3 linked regions of the Alligator mississippiensis genome follow. The protein of the gene in region 2 interacts with the protein of the main gene of each other region in a pairwise test. Links are inferred from orthologs where the notes say so. Each region holds a gene or a part of one and is shown on either strand. Other genes may lie near its edges.

What was found.
Region 1: the proteins of FSD2 (region 2) and CDC73 interact in binary tests that used the Homo sapiens proteins (3 or more experiments, as listed by UniProt). The two-hybrid records come from large-scale screens. The link is inferred for Alligator mississippiensis from reciprocal best matches to the Homo sapiens genes FSD2 and CDC73.
Region 3: the proteins of FSD2 (region 2) and LENG1 interact in binary tests that used the Homo sapiens proteins (3 or more experiments, as listed by UniProt). The two-hybrid records come from large-scale screens. The link is inferred for Alligator mississippiensis from reciprocal best matches to the Homo sapiens genes FSD2 and LENG1.

Annotation. Positions count from the first base shown.
Region 1 is NC_081828.1:62,038,362-62,046,181, reverse strand, and holds the start of CDC73 (parafibromin), read right to left. Parts: upstream 3,010-7,820; 5' UTR 2,951-3,009; coding exon 2,820-2,950; intron 1-2,819.
Region 2 is NC_081834.1:18,309,540-18,317,464, reverse strand, and holds the start of FSD2 (fibronectin type III and SPRY domain-containing protein 2), read right to left. Parts: upstream 3,002-7,925; 5' UTR 2,850-3,001; intron 1-2,849. Other genes in the region: WHAMM (WASP homolog-associated protein with actin, membranes and microtubules), read left to right, coding at 3,044-3,631.
Region 3 is NC_081828.1:38,487,614-38,495,325, forward strand, and holds the start of LENG1 (leukocyte receptor cluster member 1), read right to left. Parts: upstream 3,010-7,712; 5' UTR 2,832-3,009; coding exon 2,700-2,831; intron 2,025-2,699; coding exon 1,842-2,024; intron 974-1,841; coding exon 702-973; intron 423-701; coding exon 206-422; 3' UTR 1-205. Other genes in the region: TMC4 (transmembrane channel-like protein 4), read right to left, coding at 4,698-4,748, 5,060-5,138, 5,413-5,568, 5,840-5,970, 6,182-6,365, 6,667-6,764, 6,881-7,007, 7,103-7,269 and 1 more.

The DNA of each region.
Region 1 (7,820 bases), on a different chromosome or scaffold from region 2:
CGTATTTTCTCTTCCAAAGGCATCAGCTTTCACATGTGCCCTCAAAAGAAAAGCAGTAGTGTGTGCAACCTGTTAGAACCAGATGACACACACAAAACAAATGTCCATTATATTAGACAAGTTACTGCAACAGCAATCAACTATTCATCCTTTTAACCTTACAGCTTACTGAACAGAAGGGGCAAATGGACTGCAAGAGAGGAATCTGCCTCCACCTGAAGTCTGTCTCCGGTTCTGAGGTGTCAGGGAGAACAACCATCAAACAAAAGACTGACACCTGTACACCAGCAAAAAAAAAACAAAAAAAAAACCTATATATGTCAATAATAAAACATAATGATCAAGCTATAAATGAGAGGGGTAAACGCACTATATCCACTTGAGATAAACAATGCAGTTGACTTATAAGTAAACATAATGCTTAAAGAACACTCTGAACCTACCAAGCCTAGAAGCAGAAACCCTCTATCCAGGAAACAGATCCAAGAAGCAACAACTTCTCCTACTGCCCTTTGACTTACCTAAACTTAGTTCTAGAGAGACTACTTCTAAAGATTTGGAGGATCATCCCACCTTCGCTACTACTTCGATTATCCAGATCATAATCAAAAAAAGCCTACTAACAACTAAAGTATCAAGTAATGACATTTTACTAAGTGTAGGACTGAAATCACACTCATTTGACACACCCACTCATGTATTAAGAGCTGAGGACACCAAGTTTGAACACTGGTCCAAAGATAGTGTCATCTCAATGTATTACACACAACCAATTACTTGTGTGGAAGCCACTGGACAGAATCCAAATGTATTAAAAAAATTGGAATCCAAGTACCAATTTTTCTAAAAGCAGGTAATCCTGGTCCCCATAGCCACCACATAAATTGAGCAGCTATGTGAATGCACTGCAGATCAACATTTGAAAGAGTTACTGAACACATGTAATCAGGCTAAAAAGAAAAGAGAGAACAGCCACCAAGGAAGCTGAGTAAACAGCCAACATGCACACAGCGTTAGGAGAAAGATGATGGCAGGATTCTCACTGTGCTGTTCTCGGGCCCCGCTCACAGCAACTTCTTTGGATCAGCTCTCCTTCCTAAACACTCTGGCTGCCAAACAGCACTCTCCTTTCACCCACCCAGATCTTCTTGTTTCTCCCTTCCCTCACACCCAAGGCACTTCTGTGCCTGCCTCAACCACTGCTTAAAAACTTGCCTATGCAGCAGCAGAGCTTGGCTGACAGGCAAGATTCTCTGCTCCCCGCATGGTTCTGAATAGCAGCAGCGAAACCTAACAGCAACTTACTTGTTGCTGCTTGGGAAGGCTCAGAACAACAGACACCAGAATAGTCTGCACAACTGCTCATGCTGACAGCACAAAACCATTTCATATTTTTGCACACACTTCTCCTGCCTGCAGATTGCAGAAGGCCTTTCCACGCAGCACCAGGATGTGCTCAAAGACTCTTTAATGTCTTTGAGAAACCCTTGAAGAACAGTAACAAATTAATGGTGTATAAGCTGGTTACTTGCACTGGTCAAAAAGAAATCCACAAATTTATCTCCAAATTACCAGAAGCACACTAGAACAGGGTTACTCAACCCGTAGATCCCAACCCAAAAGGGGGTTACAAGAATATACGAAGGGGTTGCAAAGAAACTTTAAAAATGGATTCTCTTTTAAAGGAGGAAAACGTGAGAAACTGTGGTTTTTCCCTTGCAGGCTGGCAGAGGTCTGGCCTGCAAGGGCCTGCCCCGCCACCCCCACCACTACCATCACCACACTGGGGGCCGGAGGCAGCACTTCAAGAGGGTGAGGGGCACTGGGTCGGGACTGGCCATCAATGTTTACAAACAGGTCCTGGTACAAAAAAAGACATTGAGAACCACTGCCCTAGAACTAGCCCCATGCCGTCAGTTACTTTTTGCCTCCCGGATGTTCCAGTTTAGAACACCGAATCGATGATCAGATGCGACACGGACAAATCCAACGTTCCCACTCCAATTCAGAAGGTTTTAAATAATGCCCCAGACCCCAGGGGAAACATCAGCTCCCCTACTCTTCCCTCAGCCCTGCAGAGGGTCTTGGGGAAGTCATCTGCCCCTTTCACCTGAAGCTCCAAGTTTCACAGCCCTCTACAGGGAAGGCATTACCTTTCACTAGCATTTGAAGAGCGCTTCCATGAGTGGCTACTGAGAAGTACATGTGTGTAATGGAGGGCAGTGACTCTTTTTCAGGGAAAGAAGAAAAAACCAAAACAAAACAAAACATCCTTGAGCTTTTAACCGCTACCATGACCCTGCAGAAGGTCCAAAGCAGCCCTGGGGAAGCGTACACCCCCAGCTACACTCTGGGCTCCAGTTTCCAGCCAGCTCCGGGCATTGTTTACTTCCCTGCTCCCAGCCCGGGCAGGGCCGGACCCCACCGCCTGGAAACAGGGAGCAGGAAGAATGGCAGGGAGCTGGGGTCGGCGTCCACCCGCGGGCCGGATCGACACTGGGAGCGGGGCAGGCACCTCTCGGCAGCAAACAAAGAGGCCAAGTTTGCCCGATCACCCAAAGCCAACCTGGGGGCAGCGGCCGGCGAGGACCAGAGCCTCCAGCACCACGGGGCACGGCCCTTCCTACCCCCAGCCGGACCCGGGGCAGTACCCCCCGCGCGGGACGGCAGCGCCGAGCAACAGGAGGCGCCGGAAGCCCCCGGGGGAGGGAGGGGGGATCGCGGCCCGGTCTGGCGCCCCCGGGGCACATGGTCCAGACTCCCCCGGCCCTGGGAGGCGAGGGGGAGGAGTTAGGGGGAAGGGGAGGGGGGGCACTCACCCCCAGATGACATAGTTGGTCTTGACGTTCTTGGGCCAGGAGAACTCGCCGAAGATCACCTCGTCGCCCTTCACCACGATCTCCTTCTTCTGCGTGTTGTACTGCCGCAGCACGCTCAGCACGTCCGCCATCTTCCGCCCCGCGCCCGGCCCCGCTGCCGCCGCTGCTCCACCCGGCCCGGCCCCGCCGCCAGCCGCGCCAGGACCCCGCCGCCAGCCGCCGCCAGGGCCCGGGCTGCCCGCGCCGAACGCCTGCGCCCCGCCGCCGCCCGCGCCCGCCGCTAGGGGGAACCCTGCCCTTCCCCGCCCTGCGCCGCGCCTCCCCCCTAGGCCGCGCGGCTCCTTCCGGCGGCTCTTACGGGCCGCTGCGGGGAGGCCGCCCTGCACCCCACGGCCAGCGGGGCAGGGCTGGTGTCCCTCGCCCACTGGAGCTTTGTTGCCGGATGCACAGTGATGGCACTTGTAGGATCATTTCAACTCTTGCACGGTGCACCGTTAATAATAGTAAAACTGTCCAAAATGCACCATCATTTTGAAGGTACCTAATTGATGTGACCTGAAAAACCCGAGTCACTCTCTGAGAGTCTTAACCCACTTTTGGTTTGCCTTCTTTAATATAAATTTCTATAAATACAAGTTTTCCTCATTTATGCGAGCTCTGTACGTGCAAATTCACTCTTATGCCAAAAATTTGTTATAAAAGCAGGTAAATTCACTCTTGTGCGATCTGTGTGGTGGAAGCCGGCAGTCAGCTGCTTTGTGCAGTGCATTGTGGGAGTGACACCAAAATATAGTCTTCTGTGTGGATCGTTGTCTGTGACACGTGTTTCTGTAATTGCCATCCATCCCCATTATGGTAGTGCCCTCTGCTTGTGTGTGCTGTCTGCTGTTGGTGAGTATCAAAATTGTCTTATAAAAGTGGTAGAAATGTGTCTGGGGGTCAGTACAGTCGAGGTCGTGGAACGTATCCCTATTTGTTACATTGTAAAGTGGGTTCCATTTACGCAAATTCGAGTTATGTGCCATTTTGCAGGAACACGTGTACAGCATAAAGGAAGGGAAATCTGTCTATAGAAAAACACACACACACACATATGTACATATACAGGCAGCCCCACTTAATGCTGTTTCAGTTAGCGCTGTTTTGCTGTAATGCTCATTTTACCTTGATACACAATTCCACTTAGTGCTCAGCGAGTTTTGTTTTGTTGTAACACTTATGGGCATCGTACAGCTGGCGGCAGGGAATGTGCGCTACAGCCACAGTGCAGCGGTGGAACGCAGCCTTGTGCAATTTAGCACCAATTTGCTTGTGTCACCATCTTGGTTCATCAAAAACTTGTGTGCCTTACGTTTAGCAATTAATTTTGACCTTTGAAATCAATCATCGTGAGTCAGAAACGTGCATCAGAAACGTGCAACCGACTCTGTAACTGCAAGTGCTGAGAAAAAGCAGCACAAAAGCTTAATGCCGGAGCTTATATTGGATGTCCTGAAGCAAACTGAATCAGGCAAATGCAAGAATGAGGTCTGTATACCATTGGATTTGGCTTTGGATTAGAACGTTTGAATTAGATCATAGAAAATTAGGGTTGGAAGGGACTTCAGGAGCTCATCTCGTCCATCTAGAAGTTTGAATTAGATGTCCAAATTGAGTGATTTTTATAGTGCTAGTGGGGAGCCGCATTAACGAATTATATTTATTTACATTAATTCTTATTGGAAAATTGGTTTCGCTTAATGCCATTCTGCTTAACACTTGTTTTTTTGGGAACCAGTTAACACCACTAAGCAGGGGCTGCCTGTGTGTGTGTGTGTGTGTGTGTGTGTGTGTGTGTGTGTGTTACCTCTAACAACTCATCAAATGACCATTGTGGTTCACTTGACAGCCCAAAACACACTTTACCAGTTAACCTATTTTACTCCAGTTACAATGTTCGCACCACACACCCATGCACCTATTGCCATTCAGCACTTTCTTATGACTGCTTGCCTCAACATAAAGCAATGCTTCAACTTCATGACCCAATTCTCACTCACTCATTGGCGAGTTATAATGAGCAGTACAGGAAACCCTCTCTATTCGTGGGTTCAGTATTCACAGTTTCAAATACTCATGAATGCCAAACCCACATTTTAAATACACTTTACACTTGGAGGAACTCCTTGGGAGCTCCGCACTAGCTTCCACTGGGCTCCTGCCGTCGCCACTGGAGCCGTGCCCCCACCCCTGCCAGCTGCCAGGGGCACTGCATTCATGAGCACAGTGCCTTATTTGTGGATTTTGCCATTCACGGGGGATAAGGGAACATATCCCCTGCGAATGGCAAGGGTCGCCTGTATAAAGTTGATAAGGTTGATTTGCATAGTTATTTGCATATATATTTGCATATTTTTCCAGTGTACAGTAGTTTGCATCAAATACGATACTTTTGAGCTTCCAATACAATAATATTTAAGACCTGGCAACACTGCACTGCAGGGACTAACAGGGTGGCTAGGTAGGGGGCACACTGGGCCAGGCATCTCAGCTGTAGGGTTGGGGTAAAACTAAACAAGCTGCCCCAATGCAGGGCAACCTCCCTTGACAGCCTGCTCCTGCCAGGCATGTGGTAAAGACCCCTGCTGTGCATTACATGCATTTTGCAGATGACTCACACAGTCAGTTGATACCAGCCACACATGCAATGTAACAATTGCACCATTAACTGGTGAATTGTGCAATAAAAATGAGTATTCAGCTATAAAAAGAGCCAGCCAGCTAGAAAGTGCTTGAAAATGTATAACCTCCATCTCCTCCCATCACTGGCATTTGTCCAGCCTGAACTGAGCATGTAGCAGGGCCCTTAGAAACACCTGAGTAAGTGGTGCTCTGTTCCAGAGACCAAGCAGGCCACTGGATAAGTAGTGTTGTGAGCACTTCTCTGATGTGGCTGCATGGGTTGAACTGAACTGGCCTGTTGAACCATGTCTAGACGGGCACGGGGGTGCGGTATGTGGCGCCACAGACCCATCTTCGGCACTACATTCCATACCTGCAGGTGTTCCCTGAACTGATGCTTTGCAGTACTACCCCTGGAAATCCTGTGGTCCAAAAAACCCACACCAAAAAAAACCACGGTGGTGCATGTGGCAGTAGAGCATTTCACCCAAAACAGGAGCCTGGCAGGCTGGAGCTATGTTCTGGCTGCTGGCCATGCTCTCTGCTGCAGGAGTGCTGCAGCTCCTTAAGGCCCCCATGACCCCACCCAGGTAAGGCTGCTGGGGCCCACAATTGTGCGGGCCCCAGCCTCCTCTACCCCACCTGGTGTAACTTCCCACATGCCAAAGCACACATGGCATGAGTGTTCCCCAAGGACAAGCAGCAGCAGCAGCACAAAGTGTGCCACTGCTACTTGTCCCTGGGAAAGCACATATTCCTACATATCTGGACGTGCCCTCCTGGGTAATGGCTCAAATGTCTCCAGAAGATGGAGCACAAAGCAGTAATTGTAAGGGTTTATCTGCTCCATGAATCACAGTGGTGTAATAGACGTGAGAGTCACCAGATGGCGCTTTACGCATTCTGATAACTGCATAAAATCAGATCCTGAAAAGAATCACATTAGGGAAGGTGTCGGTTTTTATTAAGAGCTGGCTCTATCAAATTAGAACTTCATAAGTGAGCAGTAAGTTTTGGCATCTCCTTTTCGGGGTGTCTGATTTTATTTTGTTCAAATTAGAAATTCATACTGAATCACTGATCGCTTCTTAAACGACTAGGTGTTACCAGAAAGTTAGTTTTTCCTGTGTAGACTCAATGGAATCACTGTGCATGGCAGATGAGAAACTTCCTGTAGAAGATAAAACATATATCCATGTAAAATAAAGAAAATATTACATGGTGACAAAATCCCATAGGAAACATAATTTAGTGTTGATTCTGCTAGCCATATCTCTAATACAGTTAAATAATTAACTGTTGATCAAAGTATATACATATGAAAAACAGAGCAATCCATGTTATGCCGGATTGCACAATCTATTATGAGCGGCATTTCTATTTTGACACAGAGGGCAGAGTTTAGATTACGATTTAGATTGGTGCAACCTACTCTGTCAGCTACATTGTTTATTGCAATAGTAATTTGCATTGTCTTTTTCTAATGGTTCATAATGACTAAACTATCAGTTTGTGAATTATTCTGCCTACTTAGATGGCATAGTAATAGAAGCACTTTGAGACATGCACACATGCTTTCAGACTGAGTGCATTCTTCCAAGCATTCATTCTGCAGTAGCAATCACAGAGAAATTGTTCTGAGTCTTGGACATAATGCACACATCACAAAAATACAATAAAATATTAAAAATCAAATGCCACAAAAATGTGAGAGAAGGCATAACTTAATTTTTACTATTCAAAACATACCATTTCAACAAGAATAACCAAACTTCAAGCAAACATCACCATCGCATATTTATTGAATTTCATAAGCCAAAATTCATGTAATTAATATCTTCCCATGTTTTGACCTTATTGAAATTAAAGAGTTGAAATGATGGTGGATTTCCTCTGGCAGGGGTTTATTTGTCTTTCTCATCACTGCAAATTATGTTTTATTTTTCTCTTCAAGTCTAAGTAGACTGGGAACCTGTCATTGTTTCTATGTTTTAAAAGTAAAAGTAGCATTTGCTGTGCTGATGTGCAAGAAATATTAACGTGTGTAATAACCAAAAATATACACAGAATAGATTACATGTTATATCAAAACCAGCATAATATGTGTGCGCTAAAACATAATAATGAAATGAATGATATCATCTACTAAAAACACAGCAGCCTCAGAACTACAGCACAGTAACTGTTTATTCAACACACTGTTTAGCAGGTGAATAATTTAAAGACAATTTAAAGTAGGCAAAATATAACTGCCCAAATTGGAATCTGATATGGCCAACAGAATTAACTGATCTATTCTTGAAAACAAGAACAACGGCAAACCCTGCTATGGAAACTTTT
Region 2 (7,925 bases):
CAATGTGTCATCATCATCCTGTAGTAGAAGCCTGCATTGACTGCATTTAATAGGAGGGAGCTGATGTGAGAAAACAACCAGGTAACGTTAACAAGGTAGAGATCTGGATGCAGTGGCCAAGGAGAATCCTAGATGACAGGAGACGTCTATCTTTACAGCCATTGAGATCCTGTCATCATCTTCTGCCTGATCTGCTGTTGAGTACTTGGGGTTGGACTGTAGTTTATCTGAAACCTCCCGTCAGGCCTGTTCACCATGGGTGACCCTGCCAAAAGTGCAAGACCTAGCTCTGAGGAACAATGGGACACACAAGCTGCTCCATCTCTACAAGATCTGGGTTCATGGTATTAAATATGTTTATTTATATTAATATCAATATATGCACCTTGCAAATACCTGGAAGCTGAAAATAGCAGAGAAAATGGCTAAATGCAGAGAAAATGGCTGACTAGATAAGTGAAATGTCTTATCAAGAGAAAATGACTTTGCACTGATTAATCCCATTAAAAGACATTGCATAAATCATAATAATAATAACAATAGAGATTACAATAGCATTTTTAGGTAATGTCCAGTCAACAACACTGACATCTTAACTCGAACCCTGGCACTGATCTGCTTGCAAAGAAGCCATGAGCAAGCATTAATCACAGAAATTGAATGTATTTAAGAACATTGCAGATAACTTGCAGTTGGACAAACTGGTGAAATTCCTTCACTATTCATCCATCTCGGTGTCTGTATGAATCTTGAACAGCTGGAAGGGCCAGTGTAGTTATAACAACTTTGACAAGCTGTATTCTGTTTCACTGGACAAAAGGGAAAAGGTTCTGCTTCTTTCTTTTCCTCCTTTGATTTTTATTTCTTCCTCCCTTCAGTTTGTTTTCCTCTAAATGATGAGTTGTGGATGCAGGGACTTTTCTTGTGACCTCATGAGTGTCTCTAGCACTTGGGTGCCCATTTTAAATGGATTATGAAGATGAAAAGCATGAGCAGAACTTCAAATGGTGTAGAGCTGCCTGATTCTTTGAAGTAGTAAACAAGGACAGTAGGTCTCACAGAGGTATATTCCTTTCATTTATGTCAGTGGGGTTTTAATACTGAACATTAAAGAGGGCAGTATAAATATCATCACTGTTAACCTTTTCCGTACTAATTCCGTCAATAACATCTAGATGCTCTGGGATGGCAGACACTCTTTTTCTCATTCTGAGCACCATCCACATCACCTTTCACCCCAAAGCTGTCATTTCTAGCAGCCCCATCCCAGTAAGACCAGACTGGTGTATTTAAATACAGAAAAAGCAGCACCAAGTTCTGGCTGAATGACAAATATCATCTGTATGTTTTGCAGCAGTCTTCCATCCATCAGATAAACCTGCCAAACGACATGCTTTATAAAGCCTTACAAAGGTACGATAGAGCATACCATAACTGCTGCCTACCGGCCTATTCATTCCATAAACACATGAGGCAAGGCCTAGGCACACAGCCCAACTCTTCAGGTTTTAGGGATGACTCCATGGGATCAGTTATCTTGCAAGGTGATACCCTGCAGCAAAGGTGCATGCTTCACCTTCCCTGCCAGCAAAGGGAAGAAGGGACTGATTGAAACATAGAAGGGTTGGAAGCTGAACCAAGAAAAGGGCTAAAGACTACCGAGGAGCAGAACAGGCAATAAGAGAAAGCTATTCCCAGGAACAGTTTGGAGAGAAAGTTTTGGTTCTGTTTGCTTTTTGGACACTGATGCCAGCAGGGGTGGATTTCTGCACCTCAGTGCCCTAACTGCTGAAGGACCCTGGGGTGGGGTGAGGAGAAGGCAGGAGGATGAGGGACAGCAGGATGGCCATGCTTCAGTCATTTGTATTAGAAGCAGTAGTGGATGCATGCACTATTTCTCAGTAAATGTTCCAGTCACATAACTCCCCTCAACATAAAAGTGAAGGGCACCCATCCCTCTCCATTTCCTACGTGGATTATTTGTGCTCAAGCAATTCCTCAGGGGCTGCAGATGTTTGCTGTGCTCCCATGCTCTGCTTCTGAATTAAACCTAGGAGAACTAACCATGTTTAACAAAGTGCACAGAGGCAGGTCCCTGTGTTGGTCTCAGCAGCAGCAGCATAACTAGCACGTGGTGACTGGGGCCACTGGCCCAGGTGCCAGCACAGTGGCAGGGAAAGGGCAGAAAAATAACACTGCCCAACACAGCTGCACAACAGCACCGGTGGCACGGCAGCCACCAGACACTGCCAGTGCCCCTGTGCAACCTGCTGTCCCTGGGTGCCCGGCTGCCCTCTCACACCTCTGGGTGTCAGATCAAGTGCAAGGCTGGGCAAAGGGCAACTGGGGCAGCCCATGACTCTGAACCAGCTAGAGAGGGAGGGAGGGAGGCAGGGAGAGACAGTGTGTGTGGAAAGGGGAATTGTAGTGCTCTGTGTGGTGTGTCTAGAGGGGAATTGTAGTGCTGTGTGTGTGTGTGTGTGTGTGTGTGTCTAGAGATTTGTGGTGGTGTGTGTGGAGCAGAGGGTGGTTCTAGTACTGTGTGTGAGTGTGTAGAAAGAGGTTGAGGGGGGGTGGAGGTTATAGTGCTCTGTGTGGCAGGGTGTTTGTAGAGGGGGTTGTAGTGGTGGGAGTGTGGGTGGAGGTGTAGTGCTGTGTGTGTGTGTGTGTGTGTGTGTGTGGAGGAGATTGTAGTGGTGGGTGTGTGGGTGGAGGTGTAGTGCTGTGTGTGTGTGAAGGGGGTTGTAGGTGTGGGTGGAGGCGGGGTGTAGTGGTGTGTAGGGGGAACCCTCCAGTGCTGCGCTTTCAAGTACAACCCTCCCCCGCAGTCCACAAGCACCTGCCCTCACTCGTCACTTGCAGCAGCAGCTCCCTCTTGCCCCCTTCCTCCTGCACCTTTACGTCACTTCCGGGGGTAACTCTTTGGCTCCTCCCCCCAAGTGAAGCCACCAATGGGCAGCCTCGGCCGCGGTGACGGTGCCCAACACCCGCCAGCCCAGGCCATGTCACTTTCCCTTCCGCCGCCCCGCGGGGCGCGGGGGCAATGGCGGCGGCGGCGCAGCCCGACAGCCTGGAGGGGTGGGTGGCCGTGCGCCAGGCCGCCTTCGCCGAGCCGGAGCCGGGCGCGCTGCGCTTCCTCGTGGGCTGGAACGCGGCCGAGGCCCAGTTCGCCGTGACGTGCCACAGCCGCGCGGGCCGGGGCGGCCCGGGGCCGGGGCCGGGGCCGGGGCCGGGCGAGGCGGCGGCGGCGGCGGCGGCGGAGCGCAGCTGGGCCGGGCTGTTCTCGGCGCGGGCGCTGCTGGGCGTGCACCGGCAGCTGGCGGCGCTGAGCGCGGGCCTGGAGCCCTGCTTCCCGCCGCTGCCGCCCGCGCTGCTGGAGGGTCGCGCCCGCGGGCTGTGGGCGCTGCTGTTCGCCGCGGGCCCGGCCGAGGAGGAGGCGGCGGCCATGGACGAGCTGTGCCGCCGGCTCGAGCGCTACCTGGCGCGGGCGCTGGACCTGTGCGGCCGCCGCCTGGTGCTGGACGCGCTCTTCGCCCGCGACCCGGACTCCGCCTACTGCGAGCCGCTGGCCGAGCTGCGCCGCGCTGCCCTGCAGGCCCGCCTGGCCGCCGCCACCCAGGCGCTGCGCACGGTACGGCCGGGGCTCGGCCCAAGTCCTGGCCCCCGGGCCACGCCACCATCGGAGCCGAAGCCAGGCCCAGGCGCCCCCCACGGCCGGGACCAGGCCTGGTCTCTGCTCTGCTCCCTGCAGCCCGGAGGGGCTTTCCCCCTCCCCAGGGCAAGGGCTGCCTGTGCTTCCCTGGCCCAGGGAGAGCCTGGCTGACTGAACTCGCCTCACATAAAGTGCACAGAGGCAGTTCCCTGTGTTGGTCTCAGCAGCAGCATAACTACCGCCTGGTGACTGGGGCAGCCAGCCCAGGTGCCACCCTCAGCGCCCTGGGGAGCGCAGCCTGGTCTTCCCAGGGCTTGAGGCAACCCTCAGGCCCCCAGAGCACCTCCTGGGGTGGCAGGAGAGTGCAAGCAGCTGGGGCAGTCTGCAGGGGGAACGTGCACCCCTGGTGATAAAGCAGCAGAGTCTGTTCCTACCTTGTTGCACCGCTGATTTGCCTTTCATGCAGTACAGCAACGGGAACCGATGCCTGTTGCCTTAGTGCCTGCACTGCCACAGAAATTTTGATGGCACAAATGAGACGTTGGGCAACACTGGTTTTCACCCCTCATGTGCAAAGGAGTGGGCCATATAGCTATTTTGGTGCAAGTCCTATTCTGGCCTAATCAGGGCTACAACAAACTGGCTGGCTATTTTCACAGCCTGACAGGTTAGAAGTGACCTGGCAAAATGGAGCAAGACAGATGGCTCCACAGGTGCTTGCCTGAGGGAGAAGTGCTGGGCCTGAGGTGATCTTGGTGACTGTGGCTCAGAGGCACACTGCGCTAGGCAGCAGCAAAAACAGACTGTTGGTCTTATGTGGCCCTGAGGAGGCCAAGACACAACTCCCAACAAGACCAGATGCAGCCCAGCCAGTCACATCAAATGACAAATTGAATTAACTCTGCCTCAGAAGGATCATTGCTAATTCAAAAAAATTGTATGTAATGTGGGACATTGAGATTAGTTGTCTGTAAGATTTAGACTTGATGTAACACAAAATGTTCTGGTGTGAATCAAGCTAGTTATCTGGTTGGGTTTTTTTAGCCTAGTGGAGCTACCCTGACTCCGGACTAGTGGGGAACTACTGCTCTCCAAGCTGGCTTTCAGTGAGGGGGTGGCACTGTTGAGGCATAGCTAGAACAGCCACTGGAGCTAGAGGAAAGTGCAACCAGTCAGCGAGTGCTCCTCAGCCTGGTTACAGTGGGGGCTCCCTAGGAAATGTCAGCTCTGAGCTTATACTTGTTTTTGACTACTGAAAAATAGAGCAATTATTCTGTTGCAAAAAGCCAAGAAGCCCCCTCTCCCCACAAATCATCCTTGAGAGGATCTCAAGGCGCCCTAGGATGCCAGGACAACCCTGAGTTAGTGTTTGTCTGATCACATATTCCTTGTCTATCCAAAAACAGCAAAGTGACCATGGTTGAGTAGTGTAGACTTCTTCAGGCTTAGTAGCATGCAGTTGAAGTAGATTTCAAGTAGACAGTACACATGCATGTTTTGAGGTATTTAGCTGAAACTTTAAGACTACCAGAACTTGAGTGCTAAAAAAAAAAAAAAATACCAACCACCTATGCCGAAAGAACATCCAGTGTTGCATCTGCCAAAAACAAAATAACACAACACTCTTAATCAGTAGTACTGTAATAATTTAATCTCTTTTCTTCCCTGAAATCTGTCTTTGATGTAAAATACAGTGGTGCATTTGTATTGGTGAGGGTTTTAAATGCCTCGCTGGCTGTGGACATATGGCAAATGCTTGATTTGAGGGGGCGCAACAATCTTTTTCTGTCTAATGCAAAATTCTGGCCTAAGTGCATTATAGGTCTTTCTTCCTATACCAATAAAAGTATTTCTGGTTTAAGGGGAAAAAAAAAGCCATCTTCTGATACCTGAGCAGACCAATGAAAGCAAGAAAAGATTCTTTCCTAATTAAAGGAAATGTTGAGAGTCTGTTCCTTATTAGGTGAGGGTTAAGCAGTTGAGGTATTTTGCTTTGTAAATAATCCCCTTTAAGAGCACAGCTGCAGGTAGTCCATTGCTTTGTTAAAAACAATTAGTGGCATGACCAATTATGCTGTATCCATACAACTACTTAACAATTTAACTTCTTCAGAACAAGGGGATGGGAGGTGTTTCAGGACTACTGTACTTTTGCAGGGGGAGAATCAGCACTGGCCTAGTGCTTTACACAACCTGATACATTTCATTGTTTAAAGGGTGTAATAGGATTTAAAATTTTCCCAGAACACTATTGAAAAAGATAAGTCTATTAGAGATGATACTCAGGTTTGGTTGTTGCACTGTAATGCCTACTATAACTGGATTGCTAGAATAAGCAGGGTCAGAAGTGTGGCATCATATTAAAACATGATTTGGGTTAATTTTTCTTTTTGCAAAAGGTACCAGCAGCACCTAGAAGTATATTTCTGAACCATACATCAGCTTTGGTTTTTAGCATGCTTGGTGAAAACGTTTACAACAGCTTAGTTCTGGCAATGTGGAGACATGGCTAAAGCATCTCCTGACACAACATTACTTGTATCTTCAGGCTTTGCAAATGCTGATGAAGTAATGCCCATGAGGTAACCACCTGCATCTTAGAGGCAAGGTAGTTGAGGCACAAAAAATCACTTATTTCCCCAAGGTTGCATAGGAATTCTGAAGCAAAGGCAACTATAAAACCCATAGCTTTTGACTCAAAATTGATATAAACACAAGGGCATTCTCTTCCTATTTTTATAGCCATATAGTAAATGAAAATATTCTGCTTTGCCTTCCCAGATACCTCAGCCCATCAGAGGGGGGGAGGACAACTCAGCATGAAATAATACTATTTTCCTAAGTCAAGTTCACTGGAAAAAAACCAGCAATACCAGTAGTAGCAGTATAGTTAGTGGTGAGCTAGACTTCTAGAAAGTGAAGTGTCACAGGGAGTGGCTTACAAAATCTAAGCTGAATAAAAAACATGCTTGGGGAGAAAATTTTGCTCCTGTTACTTTCCCCAAATGTAAATGTTCTCCAGCAGGGGCATGACCACATCCCCCTCCCATGCTTTGGGACTGTGCATGAGAACCAGAAAGGAAAACCAAAGGGTTTTTTTTTCATGACATACATTTTTTCACTTGGCTCAAATAATGGGGGGAAAAAATCCAAGCTTCTCACTGCGGTGTGACCCTTGGGAGGCTTGCCTAAGTTATGGCAGAGAGAGGCAGTTACCTGTATGAGTCTGAAGTTGGGGAAAGGCAGGATAGATTTGTACCTTATAGGCTACTGAAATCAGAGATGCCTAAAGCCTTTGTAAGCTGTGGCTTGTTTTTAACAGATGCTATGATGACCCTCAGAGCATTTGATGAAGCAAGGTACTGCTTAAGAAAGCTTAGATATCTCCATTTTCATTAGTCTTTAAGGTGCAAACCTATCCTGCCTTCTCCTTAAGTTAGGGCAGCCTCCAGGGACTATCCCCCGCGAGCCATAGCACTTCCTGTAGTATAAGGCCTGGCTTCTGACATGGCCAGCATGCTTGTGAGAAAATAGTTGGAAGACAGAAGTTGCATTGTAGGTATTCTGTCCTAGCCAGACCTTAGCTTCTAAGCACCCTTTTTTCCCCAGGGTCATTTGGGAAGACAGAGTCAAAGGTCTCACCCCATTGTTTTCAATAGGAACACAGTTGAGCCCGCATTTTCCAAAGATTTCTTCTTTCCCTCCTCTGCGTAAAATCCCAGTATCCAAACCAACAACCTTTCAGGACCCTACCTCATTTCTCATGGAGCTTACCTCAGCTTAATTAGCATAAAAAGCAACATTTGTGTTTGCTGGCAAATACCACTGTCGAATTTAGCTGCTCTCAGATGAATTTGAAAAAACTCTGTCATCAGTAAATCATGGCCTCATGTCTAGTGTGGGACTAATCTGTGAAAATCTCTAGCACACTATTAAATTGTGCAAGTTTTCAAAACCTGTATGGCAGACACACAAAAAACCTCATGAGAGTGGGACCCTAGGGATTAGGTGTGATACAGACATGTATTAAAAGACAGTTTGAATATGTATGGAAGAAATAAAGGTTAAAATTCACATAATTGGTATTGTTAGGTTAGGTTCCTGTAGTATAAGAATGCCATGTATCTTTAGGATTATAACTGTAGGTTACTCTAGAACAGGGGTGGCCAATCTGAGGCATGAGTGTGACAAGTGACATGAGCAGCCTCTGCATGTGGCACACAGCAGATCGGGAAGGGGACAGGTGACAAGCAACAGATCAGGCGGAAGCACA
Region 3 (7,712 bases), on a different chromosome or scaffold from region 2:
GACTCCCCACCTGCCAGTCCAGGGAGGCATTGTTAAGGGGAGGTGTAACAAAAAAGACATCCTGTGTCCTTGGAACAGAAACATCCTTGTGGTTTGAAGGGCTGGAGCCTTCCCATTCTCTGTCCTTGGAGCCCTGGCCCTGCTATAGTGCCTATTCAGGCAGTTCCATGTCTAGAGCTCCAAAGCCCCCATTCTGCACCCCAGCTCAGCGCTGCTCCTCCTGGTCCCGGGGTTTCCGGGCCAGCTGTGGGTTGAACTGAGAATTGTAGCAGCGTCTCCTGTCGTCCATCTCCACTTCCTCCCTGCAGCTGACTGACCCTCCCCGCATCCCAGCCAGCAGGGCTTCTGCCTTGGCTCGCTCTGCCTTCTCTCGCTGCAGCCGCTCCTGCCTTAGCTCCTCCAGGGAAGTGGGGCCAGAGGTCCTGGGATAAAAAGCAAGGGGTTAACATCCTCCTGACAGTTGGAGTGAGGGCTGGCTGGGAGCAGAAATGGTATGCAGGACATGAAGAGGGGAAGGGAAAGCAGTACAAGACTTCCCACTTGGCCTCCCACCCCTTATAGGGACAAGAGAAAGGAGTGACAGGCTGTGGGCCCTGTGGCCTGAAGTTGCTGGCATATGTAGGTAGAAGTCTACAGCACAGGCCCAGCCCTGCTCCAGTAAACCGAATACCAGGATCCAGCCCTGCTCATGTCCCACTCACCCCACTCCCTTTCTTTCCTCTTTGCGCCTGTCCTTCTCCTTGTGCCTCTCCTTTTCTTTCTTGTGTTTCTTTTGTTCCCCTTTCTTCTTCCGCAGGTACTTCTCCATCTCTATGAGGGGGTCCAGCTTCCCCTTCAGCTTCTCATCCCTGACCATGTCAGCTGCCTCCTTGCTGCAGTCTGGGGCCTCCTGGTACCAGGGTGGGTTGGTTTGGGCCTCAGCTGAACTCTGTCCCAGATATGTCAGCAGCCCAATGGCCTTCTCCTGGTGCTCCTGTGCATGGGAGGGGTATGATAGGAGTCTGAATGGAGGGGTATTCTTTTTAAGTGCAGCCTATGGGGGTGGATACTCCCTCCACTGGCCTCAAGGCCTGAGGCCCGTACTCGGGAGATACAGCTCTAAGATTTTGAGGGGTAGGGGATGGACACACCAGGGTGCAAATGCTGTGGGGCCATGGCCAAGCACAGCTGTAATCGGGGCAGGGGGGATGGACAGTGGAGTCACATCCCTGCCCCATCAGAGCCCCAGAGTGGTATGGAAGAGCTTCCATATGAGGAGAACTAAAGAGCTAGGCCTGTTCAACTTAAAAAGAGAGCTGCATGAGAGGGGACATGAGAAGGGTTTACAAAATAATAAATCCATGTCTACTTTCTTTTCACCATTTAGTATTTGCTGTCACTCATGATACAAGAACTAAGGGTCACAAAATGAAAGTGGCAGGCAGTAAGTTTAAAGGAACCTCTTTTTCACACACTGTGCAACTCAAGTTGAGAACCCGTTGCCAGCAGATGTAGTGGAAGCTGACAGCCACATTAAAAAAGCAACTGGACAAGTTCTTGGAGGAAAAGTGCAGCAGTAGCTATTGAGCCTGGGAGTTAGCAATATAGCCTGTGAATCAGAGCTTCCTGGACCTCAAATGCTGGGAGGCTGCAAGCAACAGAGGAACAATGGGAAAAGCCCTAGTCATGCCCTGTTTACTCGTCAGCATCTGCACTCTGCCTGCACGATGCAGGGGACTGGGCACAATGCACCTATAGGGTGACCCAGTCAATGACAGCTCTTATGAGTGGGGGCATCCCATCCCCACAGGTGTCCGATCAGGTCCCCTGGGGCCTCAGATGTGCCAACCTTCTTTCATTACCTTCTCCTTAAGCTTCTCCTCCTCATACTCCTTGTTCCCTGCCTTGCTGCCCTTGCCATCCTCCAGGTCACGGAAGAGGTCGACGTGATGTGGCTGCTCACCGCAGAGGGCCAGCTCCGAGCTGCTATCGGGCTCCGGCAGGGCCAAGAGCCGTGCCTTCTTCCTCAGAAACTTGGTCCGTGCCTGCAGGGGGGACACGGCTGTCAAGGGAAGGAGGGGGGTTCAGGGCCAGGACCTGCAGGACTCTATGGCTCGTTCAGTGTTGGGCCTTGGGGAAGGGGGCCAGCCCCAGGGCAGCTGGGGGGTACTACTGCTGTGCATAATAAAGGCAGCAGGGATCTGGGCTGAGATTCCACAAATTCATGTCACCCAAGGGCAAAGGTAGCTGCAGACATGGAGGAGGCAGCGTGGAGCCCACAGGGCCCTGGGGTTCTTGTCCAACGGGGGAGCTGAAATCCACACTGCTGGAAGAAGGAATGTGGCCCAGAGGCCTCCCCCTCCAGCCTCAGGGGGGGCACTTCCTAGGGAAGGATCTCTTCCTTGCCCTCTGCCCCCCAGCTGGAAGCAGTACAATCTAGCTTCTTTCCTCTCTCCCCCTGCCATTAGTACAGTTTATTCCACTTTTCTTTTATCCTTGACGCAATTCAGAAGTGGTTCAAACCAGCTCCCTCCTCTCCCCCTCCCCGCACTTTAGTCCCCAGCGATTTTCTGCGCCCCGCCCCCTCGGGAAATGGTTTGGCTCAGATTTCTGCTCCTAACATCCCTCCAAAATGGTTTAAGGCACGAGCCATCTGAGTCACGTGACCAACCCGCATGCGCCCGGGGGGGGGCGGGCTCCGCGCCTGCGCAGTGACTCACCTCCTGCTCGGCCAGCAAGGCCCGAGCCTGCCGCTGCTGCCGCTCATCCTCGGCCTGGGCCTCGTCCCGCCGCACCCGGGCCACATTGTCTTTGTTTCGCACGTGCCAAGACTTCTTGGGGAGGATGTTCATGTTTGTGCTGCAGGTAGGCTTCTCCCGTCGCTTCCGCTTCCGGGTCACGAACCCACTGGCTGATTGGCTTGCTGCGTTCTTTATCTCATTGGTGCACTAAAGTCCCCCCCACTCCCCTCGGCGCGATGTCTGCTTGGCTGCAAGGGATTCCGCCCTCGCTCTCTGATTGGAGAGCAAAACTGTGCGCTCCTTGATTGGTGCGTGATTATCCCGCCTCCCCCCCCCACCAAATTCGTGCCTGCCCCAGCGTGCGTGCTGATTGGCCTGCGGAAGCCGCCTCCCTCCCACCGGGATACTGCCCCTTCTCTCCTCACACCCACTTAACTCACCTCCCTATCTGGATTGGCTTCCTCACCTCCCTGCCCAGCCTCCTCGTCCCTGATTGGTGCACCAGAGCCACGCCCCCTGCCACAGCCCCTTGATTGGAACCACAAGACCAAACCCCACCCAGAACCATGTAATTTCTGATTGGATCCTACTACTCCTGCCTGTTGACACATTCCTGGCCCCGCCCCCACGTGAGCCCCCTTCCACCCTAGGGCCCCTAGGGGAGGCCTGAGGTCACTGCTGCGGGTGATCACTCATTCGCTGCCAGATCCAGGTCATGAACATACATGTGTGTGCACATGTGCCCACGCCCACCAAACCTCCCCTTCAGTGTCCTTCCCTCCCAGAGGCGTGAAGGCTGAGTTGCGATGTGGTAATGCCATGGCATATCCCATGGAGTGGCAGTGCCTGTCGCGGCATAGCAGCCCGGTAGCGCACCCTGTAGCAACCCCAGGGTCCTAGAGTCCTTCTCTCCCCTTCTCTCACTGCTCCCCTACCACCCGTCTCTGCTGGTGACGCTTGGCCCCCAGCAGCTCAGGAGCCCACAGAGAGCCGTGGCCAATTGTAGGGGGTGAAAAAACACTCCGGTTGACAGAGAGAGAGAGAGAAAGCTGTCATGTGATTGGTGAAGCTGGGGCAGTGCTGCCCCTGGGGAAGGAAAGGCAGGTGTAGGGTACAGAGTCCAAGGAAAAAAATCTTGGGGACCATTTTCTGCAAAGAGCCACAGCGGGGAGGAGTGGAGCTGTGGTCCACAATCCCTGCTAACAGCTTGCCTGGGGAAACCCATAACGTCTGGAGGCCAATGGACTTCACCTGGGTATGGATGGAGGTTTGATTGTTTCTGGTTCCCAGCTGTTGAATTTCACCTCCTGTTTATTCACCCTGCTGTTCCAGGCACTTACAGCAGCAGAACTCAGCCTGTCTTGTCCAGCCCAACTTTTCTATGGCTTTTGGTGATTCTCTGATGGGCAGGATGAATGGCACGGGGCCAGTTCATGGGTTGGATCCCACGCATGTGGTCTGTCTGTGGGGCTGATCCAGCACAGGGGCAGTCCATGGGTGCGATCCATATCATCCAGTGCCGGGGGGGTCCCCATGGATCTAGATATTTGGCACCAGGGGGAACGGTGGCAGCCGGAGCTGCAGCCCTTAACGCTGCTACCACTTCCCTGTTGCCAAATTCCCAAACCCGTGGGGAGCTCCGCAGGCCATAGGTTGAGCACCACTGACGTATAGCTGTTTCCTTGGCTTCCAGGACTAAACTGAGCAGTGTCACTGTGTGCTTCTTAACAGGTCTCCGTGCCCCACCCCAGAGATGGCTGCAGCTCGGGGTCAGCTAAGAGATTTCTACGTACAGCCTCAAAAACTTTGGTGCTGTCCCAGTGACTGCAGCTTCCATCCACTGGGGCCAGGGTTTGGCATGGGGAAGTGCAATTGCTTTGGCAGGTGCGGATCCAGGGCAGGTGCAGAATCATCATGAAATCAACTGGAGGAGAGTTTCCCCCATCAGCAGGGGGGTGGGGAGCAAATGGTGCCCCCTCAGCTCAGCTCTGTGATCTGGTTCACCAAGAAGACTTTGTCTCTGCCCTCCTGCAAGGGGAGCGAAACCCAGCTGGGTCAGTACTGCTGCCTTCAATTATCTCAGGGGCCCACCTCCCCTGGTATGCCAGGTCCAGGAACCTGGCTAGTGGTCAAAGCAGGCACAGTTATGCCCATGGGGGAAGTTTCCTTGTCAGCAGCAAGAAGATGAAGCTTTTGGCTTCACTCTTCAGGGTGTCCTGCTGGTTAGTGCTGTTCCTGGGGCTTAGATCCCAGATCAGAGCCAGTAGAGGGGAATGTACCCCTCTCCATCCCCATCCCAGGCAGCCAGAACCCTGCCCTAGCCCCAGGATGTGACTCACCAGCTGCAGCTGCATCTTGAGCTCCTTGACCAGGCGGCTGTAGGAGTCAGCGAGAGCCATCAGGTAGAACAGGAAGATGCTGTGGGGGAGGAGGGGACCGGCAGGGACTGAATTAGGGGTTGGCATCAAGTGATGGCTTGGGCAGGGGCCTGGCAGGGGGTACTGAGAGGAGGGAAAGGGAGCTCTGTGGACTGGGAGAGAGGCGCTGCTGTGCATGTGTGTGGGTATGCACCTGTGCACATGCGTATATAACTCCTTCACCATCCCCACAGCATCCCTGCTCTCTGTGTACTCTCAGCCGAGGGAGATTCCCCAGCCTTCTCAGCCCTCCTCAGCCTAGCCTAAATTCTCACCACAGGAGCAGGAAGAGTGGCACGATGAAGCCCAGTGAGCCCACAAAGTAGAAGAAGCCCCTGGCCAGCTCAGGCAGCCCGTCAATGGCCAACAAGGCAGCATTCCACATAGATGACTCAGCCCGGAAGGGGCCGCAGGCTTGGGACGGTGGGAGGCTGCATGAGAGAAAGAGGAGAGGGGGGACTGGTCAGGGAGAGGAGAGGAAAACTTGGACATGGGAGAGAGTAGGACCTTGGCCCTTAGGCAAGGAGTGAAAAGAACTGGGGCTGTAGCAACCAGGCAGGGGTGCGTGACAGGACTCAGCCCCTGGGGAACAAGCCAGGCACTGAGTGATGCCACTGCCCAACCCCTGCTCCCCCTGGCACAGGAAGATCAGAGAGGGGAGCAGGAACAGGGTGGGACTGTCAGTGTGGGGGTTGGACTCACGCAAAGATGCTGTATAGCGCCGGCACCCAGGAGATGGCCAGGCCCAGCAGCAGGACCAGTAGGAAGAAGAAGTTGGAGCTGGAGGCGCGGAAGGTCCGGTCGCCAGGACGGCAGTTGGAGAAAAGGGTGAGCTGTGGGGAGGGGAGAAAGGGATGGGTCCACAGGGGAGGAGAGAACCCAGGGGTCCTGGCTCCTAGAGCTCCCTGTTCTAACCCACTCATCTCTCAGAGCTGAGACAGAACCCAGGCGTCCTGGCTCCCAGGCCCCACCGCCCTGCTCTAACCCACCAGACCCCTCCGCTCCTCCTAGGGCCAGGAGAGGATCCAGGCATCTGGGGCGCACCTTCTTGAGGTAGAAGAGGAGGATGTACTTGAGGGTGTTGAGCAGGGGCAGAAGCGGGCAGAAGGAGGCACCGACCCAGCACACAGTCTGGCCGTACACCAGGTCCAGCACATTGGTGGGCACCAGGAACTCTTGTTGCCCCCAAAGCCGGGCAAGCAACACAGGGCCGTGGCTTACCAGGATCCTGGGGGAGGGAGATGAGGTGACAGGGCCTGGCCCTCTGCTCTCTGACTCAGCCCCATGGGCTCCTTGCCCTGACTCTCCAGAACCCCACTACACCCTCCCTGCCCAGCCTGGCCCAGCCCAGCCCAGCCTCCCCCTACACCCAACTGCTCATTCCTTACAAGCTTCTCCAGTCCCCACTTCCAGCTCTCCCTTACAAGTTCCCCCAGTCATTTCCACCCTACCCTGGACACTCTCCACAGCCCTTCCAACCCACAGCTCATCCCCCAGCCTCTGTCCTGCCAGGTCCCACCCCCTCTCACTTGCGGGGGAACTCCACCAGCAGTGTCACCAGCAGCATGGTCAGCAGGTCAAACACCAGCAGCTTGTACATCTCCTGCCCCACCCGGGTCTCCCAGCACTGTGGGGAGACACATCATGGCATTGTCTTGCAGTCAAGTCTGCTCCCTCCAGCCTCTCTATTCTAACCGACTCCACTTCTCCAGCTGGGAGACAACCCAGGTGCCCTGGCCTCACCGGGAAGTGCTGGTGGTTGTAGCCACAGGTACGGCAATCAAAGGCCTCGGTCTGCCCGTGGCAGGTGATCTGCATCCAGAGGGAGACAAGCAGGACCACAAGGCTGGCAAGGCGCAGGAAGACACTCCTGTCCAGGCAGAGGAGGAAGACAGAGGCGGTTAGAGGGGCCATGGAATGGCAAAACGAGGCAGGATGTGGCAGGGCTCCTCCCATCCCTGGTACCTGACAAGGGTTAATTTGATTTCTTGGCTGAACGGGTATTGCTCCAGGCGTACCAGGACCCCAAAGGCCATAGGCACTACCAGGTTGGCTCCCGTGATGATGATGGAGGGCAGGTAGGAGACCAGCAGTTCCCAGAAAGCCTTGCTCTTGGACTGTGCGACACTCTGCTGCAGGGGAGAAATGGGGGGAGGTAACTACAGCCCTCAGCGAGAGCAGGTCCTTCCCATGCCCCCTGACAGCTGCAGTGCCCTGGGGAGCGGACACCAGCCCTGTCCATGGCAGTGAGGGGTGCCAGTGGGGCTGGGGGAGCCCAGGGCAGGGCTGGGAGCTTTGGGTTGGGAGTGAGGGGCACCAGCAGGGCAGGGAGAGCTGAAGACAGGGAAGCCTGGGGGCTATGCATCAGGACTGACAGGTACCAGCATTGTGGTGGGGTGTTACCTGGCTGAGCGTGCTCTGTGAGTACTCAGTGGCCAGGTAGATGCAGTAGAAAGCCACTCCCAGCAGGGCAACCACCAGTAGGTTGACGAGGCCGCGCAGGGTATAGAGCCAGGCACGCTGGGCTGGGCTGCGCTGGGCCATAGCGCGGCGAGAAGCCTCCTCTTCCAGGTCC